Schizosaccharomyces pombe: one gene and its partner. The gene in region 2 interacts genetically with the main gene of each other region. Each region holds a gene or a part of one and is shown on either strand. Other genes may lie near its edges.

Evidence for each region. A genetic interaction does not mean that the proteins touch.
Region 1: mutations in ssb1 (region 2) and ssb3 are lethal when combined (synthetic lethality), as found in Schizosaccharomyces pombe (one study listed by BioGRID).

What each region holds. Positions count from the first base shown.
Region 1 is NC_003421.2:1,281,386-1,284,022, reverse strand, and holds ssb3 (DNA replication factor A subunit Ssb3), read left to right. Parts: upstream 1-1,621; 5' UTR 1,622-1,658; coding exon 1,659-1,805; intron 1,806-1,868; coding exon 1,869-1,971; intron 1,972-2,072; coding exon 2,073-2,137; downstream 2,138-2,637. Other genes in the region: rpm1 (3' ssRNA-specific 3'-to-5' exonuclease), read right to left, coding at 1-861. UniProt on the Schizosaccharomyces pombe protein: As part of the replication protein A (RPA/RP-A), a single-stranded DNA-binding heterotrimeric complex, may play an essential role in DNA replication, recombination and repair.
Region 2 is NC_003423.3:218,664-223,347, reverse strand, and holds ssb1 (DNA replication factor A subunit Ssb1), read left to right. Parts: upstream 1-2,049; 5' UTR 2,050-2,087; coding exon 2,088-2,128; intron 2,129-2,197; coding exon 2,198-3,986; 3' UTR 3,987-4,166; downstream 4,167-4,684. Other genes in the region: M phase inhibitor protein kinase Mik1, read right to left, coding at 1-372, 441-1,649. UniProt on the Schizosaccharomyces pombe protein: As part of the replication protein A (RPA/RP-A), a single-stranded DNA-binding heterotrimeric complex, may play an essential role in DNA replication, recombination and repair.

The sequences.
Region 1 (2,637 bases), on a different chromosome or scaffold from region 2:
TGAAAAAGAAGCTGAATTGTCAAGTTTATTTGGAATATTGAATTCTGTCAATATTCGCAAAAATTCATTTCGGTGACTTCGACTTAAATCTTGTGCTCTTTGAGAGATTTTTTTTAATAACTTTATAGTGAAAGGTAGGACATCAGAAGGAACAGAAACATCAGAAAGAGGTTGCTGCACCTCTTTCAGCTTTTTAAAGACATTAGGACATCTCAGTAAAACTCTAGATGTACGAAATTCCTTAATAGTACCGTTTTCGTTAATGCTGGTCAATACATTACTATAGTTCCAAACATTAGTACCAGTGCATGCAGCAAGTTCAATGCCTTCGGAGCCCCTATAAAACACTAGCAAATCTCCACGATCGTACTGTCTAAAATTCTCACTGCTGAAATCTTCTAAATCAAAAGAATACTCAAAATCATTTTCCAACTTCTCTTCCTCAGATTTTGTAGTAGTAGGACAAACAGCAGCGCGTTTGTCCTTCTCGAACTTGTCTTTCAACCACTGTCTAATGTTTCCATGATTTTCTAATTCAGAGAAAAATTTTTTAAGGTTTTCCTCATTCACGGATTTCAAATTAGCATTTTTAAATCGATCAATAAGATCTGATTGAGTATGCTTCAAACGCGCACCACAATGTCCCCAAAGATGATGATCGTTTGCTGGTTGTTTCCCGAAATTTATTAGGCATCCAGTTATGCGGAAATATTTCAAAACTTTTGAACTGGAAGGGCAAGCATGATGAAATTTCCTTGTAAGTTTACAAGGAGACAATTTTAAAGACAGGCATACACGTTTTAATAAATAATTAGACTCTAAATTAACATTTTGAAGAAGAAACAATTGCCTATAGTTCATGGGCAAAAACCCTATAATTAGTAACACCAAAAATAGTGTTGATGGTAAATTCGACTAGAGAGCTGAACCAGAGCACTTTTAGGTACTAGCAAGTATTAAGGTAACAAGCTCTGCAAATGTAAATGAAGAGTGGTTTAATAACTAATGTAACAGAAGAAAGATTTCAATATGAGTATGGAGTTTTTTGATTTTTTTTTTTTTGAATTGAATGGTCGAGGGGATGGGCGACTTCAAAGTGAAATACATGAAATCACAACCTCAAGGTAAAACTAATTGAAAAATTATATCATTAAAAGAAGGCTGCTTTCCATCAATTACATTTACTTTTAATTATTGAAGCTTCTGGTCTACGCCTAAGCAATTTACTAATAGTGGTATTGGAAAAGAGAGAAAATTAAGAGTCGCCGACGATTTCAAAAATAGTATAAAATACCATGAAATCTTTCCATAATGTTATTTAAATCACTATATGTAAGACGTATTTATATTGGTCTTTAACCCGTTTATTTACAACATTTCAACCAATTAATAAGTAGTGAAATTAACGCAGAAGGATACAAGGAGATTTTTTTATGAATAATTCTTATAAAAAATAGAACAGTAATGTATCAACGTTAGCCCCCAGCGTTTATATTTACGCTTTTGCTTTTTTATTTACATCCCAGCGCCTTCCAACATATAATACATAACGTACTGCGTTCCAATATTTTAAATAATTCGTGTCAACAAGTAGTTAACTACCTGGTCTGATACATACTTCACTTCCACCACTTTATAAACAACGCGTATAAAATAATATGGAACGCCCTACACCTCGAGTTACGAAAGATATGCTACCAGAATGCTCTGGAAAAACGGTTCGGATTGTTGGCAAGGCGAATCAAGTTGAAGGTGAAACTGCAAAAGTCGATTCCAACGGTTCTTTCGATATGCACCTCACTGTGGTACGTTTTATCTATTTTACAATCGGTTTTCAGAGTTTTTTTATTTTATCTAACTAATTTTAGGATAACACTCTTGAACCCAATCATTTCTATGAATTTGTCGTTTCTGTCAAACCAGATTCTTCGGTGCAGCTTTTAACCTGTGTTGATTTTGGCACTGATATTGGTAAGTTGTGTTTATAAAAATAATAAGGAAGTCCTTTGAACTTCTGCTTCTGCTAAGTCCTACATTCTATTGACCGATTAACTAATTTCCTGTTCCTTTAGATATGGAGGTATACCAGAAACTCGTTCTATTCAGTCATAAGTATAACTCACTTTTTTTTGAATAAGAAACATTTTATGGATCATACAACACAGATTTCTCTTTCATTTCTCATGCACAGTACAAATAAACATGGAAGAATAAACGCGCAGAATCTTGCTTCCTTCTTTTGGTTTTTGCATATTTTATTGCATTTCTAAACTCAAGCTTTTCTTTTATAATGATTCTTCCTTTTGGCTAATACAAATATGAATTTTACTATCGTTTATTTCACTTTTTTTGATTCTTGTTTGAGTATTTTTATATAACGTTCTCCTTTTTTCGCACTATCTTATTTAGTGTATCCTTGAGATGCTCATCGCGGACGATTCGGCTCCGAAGACGGTACATACCGGTGTTTCTTACGTTTGCTCATCCTTCAGTCACCCTGCCATTGTAACAATCCAACTACCATATATATACAAAGCGAGCAACGCAAGTATATCTAGTGGTACTACGCTGAATATCGCTTATTCCTAAAGAAAATTGGTTGTTTTGAGAATTATTATATTACTTTTTCCTTTACAA
Region 2 (4,684 bases):
ACACCTCACCTTGTTTATTTGAACCTTTTCTTTCGACAAAAGGAGGTCTTTAAGATTTGGCAAATTTGAGTAATCTCCAGACCTTAGTCGTTGCCATTCAACACCATTTTCTGGCAGGACTACATTTGTTGCGGCTTCAATCATACTGAGGCCTAGTGAATATACATCGGCTGGTTTCCCATAATTATGCGAAGCTAATATTTCGGGAGCTATATAGACTCTGTCGCCTTCGAGATCAACCATCGAGGAGACCGGTAAACTAGTTGCTAGTCCGAAGTCTCCCAACTTTAAGTTACCATCACGAGTTATAAGAACGTTGGAAGGCTTAACGTCTAAATGAACAAATTCTAAAAGATGAATGAAATTTAATGCCTATGTTCGGTTAGTGAATTCAAATGACGTGTCTGTGGAACGCGACTTTTAAATATGTAATAACTTACTTGAGTTAGTTGAAACAACATTTTCCACACGCGAAAAGGATCCATGACCTGCAATAATCCCAATTCGCTTAAAAATAAACTTAGGTCTCCGTTTTCACAATAATCTAATTGCAAAAATATATTATCATTGTAGCTCCAAACGTTCACTAGATTTACTACAAATGGACATGCTTGCAAGCGTTGCAAAATAGATACTTCCTGTAAGTGACGCTCTTTTCCTGTAAACTTGGCTGCATTTTTTTTTAACATTTTTACAACGTAAACCGTTTCAGTAGGTGGGTTGATCGAAGACACATGATATACAAATGAAAAATCACTCTCGTGTATCGGCTTAACTTGTTGGAATCGAATTCGAAGATCACTAGTCCAATCTTCCTCTTCTTCGTAATCATCTGCGCTGTTGATGTTTAAAAAAATTGGACTGGTAGGTGTCCAACTTAATGAAGAAGGTACGTCTTTCTCATCCCAGTTATTAACGTGGGAACTTGAAAGGAAAATAGGCTGACTCTTGCAAGGCGTTTCGCAAAATTCCAACAAGTCCTCTGAACCATAAGACAAAGAAGGAAGTTCTTCCATTTCAAACGTTTCATCCGAGCTGTCAGAGTTTGGATGATCCAACCGACTAAAAGTATCTAGGTCGATATGTTTACATTTGCGAGCTAAAAGAGAGGTAGTGGGTGACAGCGGAGATTGAGGTGGTTTTAATTTTATTTTCGTTCCCTTTTTACAAGGTGTATGAGGTTGTTCACTTCTTGGATTAGTCAAATTCCCTTCCCATAATGACCACTTTTCACGTTTTGATAACAGTCCTGTGCTTAAAGAAGTCACCGCCCTTTTTCGTTTTAAATCAATTGGCGTTGAAGCATCCACAATTTTTTTGGATAACTTCAAGCCGCTCGAAAATGCAAATGGTTTGCTACACCCATCGAGATCTGAATTCTTAAAAATTCCGTGGCGAACTGTAGTGGATAATCTGATGGCTTTTGCATTATTTTGCATAGGGGTATGTGGACTTCTTTTTGTATTGGAAGGTTTAAAGAATGTCAGTTTTGATGACTTATGGCTCTGATTTTCTTCATGGCCAGACGAAAAATTGTAAATGGGTTCATCGTAGAAATTTAATGGAGAATGCTCATTAAACGAAGAGGATATATTAAAAAAACATGGTGTTCGCGTTGGAGTAATTGGGATGGTGGTTGATGAATCCATCTTTAACTGAAACCTGAATGTAAATAAAGTTATATTTTTTTGCTTATTAGCTGTTAAAATCCCGTTTTCACTTTGATATCTCCGGTTTTCCTAAATAATAAATAATATGCAGATGATAATGTAGTTCAACTCTTCCAACAAAAGGAAAATCACAAAGGATTTATTTCCTTTTGTAGAGAATTAAATAACACTACTATTCTTTTCAGCTTTTAAGGGCTTTTCTATAGCAATGTGTTGTGCGCAAAGGATAACTTTGAAAGTAAACAACCATTGTTGACATGCACGTACACAAACAACACATCTTAAAGTTACGCGTAATATTAAAATGTGTTACGACGCGTCATGACGCGTTCGCGTTTTTCATTTGGGATAACGCGACGCGGCTTCGTTCTTTTGCCTTAAACCAACCACTAATTAAAAAAAAAAGAATTTGCAAACATGGCTGAGCGATTATCCGTGGGTGCACTTCGTATAATCAAGTAAGTTAACTGTCCAAATTATATACTCAAAAGATTTCGACAAATTGGGATGTTAACACGTTTCTTTAGTACATCCGATGCTTCGTCTTTTCCTCCTAATCCAATTCTCCAAGTCTTAACCGTGAAGGAGCTAAACTCAAATCCAACTTCTGGTGCTCCTAAAAGATATCGTGTTGTCCTTTCCGATTCAATCAATTATGCGCAATCTATGTTAAGCACCCAGCTGAACCATTTGGTTGCCGAAAATAAACTTCAAAAAGGAGCGTTCGTACAGCTTACCCAATTCACTGTAAACGTTATGAAAGAAAGAAAAATTTTGATTGTTCTTGGTTTGAATGTTTTAACTGAACTTGGCGTAATGGATAAAATTGGTAATCCCGCTGGTTTAGAAACAGTTGACGCTTTACGGCAGCAGCAAAATGAGCAAAACAATGCTAGCGCACCACGAACAGGTATTTCGACAAGCACTAACTCATTTTATGGAAACAATGCTGCAGCTACAGCACCGGCTCCACCTCCCATGATGAAGAAGCCAGCAGCGCCGAATAGCCTTAGCACAATAATCTACCCAATTGAAGGTCTCTCTCCATATCAGAATAAATGGACTATTCGTGCCCGTGTTACTAACAAATCTGAGGTTAAACATTGGCATAATCAACGAGGTGAAGGAAAGCTTTTTAGCGTAAATTTACTCGATGAAAGTGGGGAGATTCGTGCAACAGGCTTTAATGACCAGGTTGATGCTTTTTATGATATCTTACAGGAAGGTTCGGTTTATTATATATCTCGTTGTCGTGTGAACATTGCAAAAAAACAATATACCAATGTTCAAAACGAGTATGAGCTGATGTTTGAACGTGATACTGAAATAAGGAAAGCTGAGGATCAAACTGCCGTCCCCGTTGCGAAGTTTAGTTTTGTTTCTCTACAAGAAGTCGGCGATGTTGCCAAAGATGCTGTTATCGATGTAATTGGTGTACTCCAAAACGTTGGACCAGTTCAACAAATTACCAGTCGTGCAACTTCTCGTGGATTTGACAAGCGTGATATCACTATCGTTGACCAAACAGGATATGAAATGCGTGTTACGCTTTGGGGAAAGACAGCTATTGAATTCTCTGTTTCTGAAGAAAGTATTCTCGCTTTCAAAGGAGTTAAAGTTAATGACTTTCAAGGACGCTCTTTGTCAATGTTAACTAGCAGCACCATGTCGGTAGATCCAGATATCCAGGAATCTCATTTGTTAAAAGGTTGGTATGATGGACAGGGTAGAGGGCAGGAATTTGCCAAACATAGCGTAATTTCATCTACTTTATCTACTACTGGAAGGAGTGCTGAACGTAAAAATATTGCTGAGGTTCAAGCCGAACATCTGGGAATGTCAGAAACACCCGATTATTTTAGCTTAAAGGGCACCATTGTTTACATTCGAAAGAAAAACGTGTCATATCCTGCTTGCCCTGCTGCTGATTGCAACAAAAAGGTTTTTGATCAAGGTGGCTCCTGGCGATGTGAGAAATGTAATAAAGAATATGATGCTCCTCAATACCGTTATATTATAACTATTGCTGTAGGTGATCATACGGGACAACTCTGGCTCAACGTCTTTGACGACGTCGGTAAATTAATCATGCATAAAACGGCAGACGAATTGAATGATCTACAAGAAAACGACGAAAATGCCTTTATGAATTGTATGGCAGAAGCTTGCTATATGCCATATATCTTTCAATGTCGTGCTAAGCAAGACAATTTTAAAGGTGAAATGCGAGTACGCTATACAGTGATGTCAATTAATCAAATGGACTGGAAGGAAGAGTCTAAAAGATTGATAAATTTCATTGAGTCTGCTCAATAAAACATTGTGTTTTACGTCTCGCTGGTCGAGTAATTGAGTTTTTGGCTTAAATCGCGAAAACTACGATTTATGATTTTGCATACATTGATTACAAAGTGACTCCTTTCCTTATGATTTGGTACTTCACTTACATTTAACTAGATTTAAAGTAATTATATATGATCTGAATTTTTGGAGTAATTAGTTCTGTTGCTTACATATTAAAGTTCCTTGATGGGTAATTTACGCTATAATGGCTTGATTGAAATCACCGCTAAAAGAATGCAATGATATCTTTTAATATGAAGTAAAATATACAGTAAACTTATCAATTGTTTTAGAATTGAAACTGTTGAAGAAATAAATTACCAGATTGTTTTGAAGTAAATACGAGTCTACGAAAATGCAATCCTATTTTAACAGGAATATGAACCATGATTTTTTTAAATTTACTTTATAAATAAACAACTTTAATAAGGAAGCGATTTAGATACCAATAACAGCAGGTTACATTCTTTAATTGAGTAATAATAATATAACTGAGCAAAAAGACTGTTTTGCGACAAATTTTGTTAATTACATACAAAATCTTAAAATACAACATTTCTTTGATTAAATCGTACAAATTTATCTTTAAAGATCCTTAATTAGCTCCCCACATTCTAAATGGAATGGAGTAAACTATTTAATCCGTCTCGCAACAACCTTCAGTAAAACCT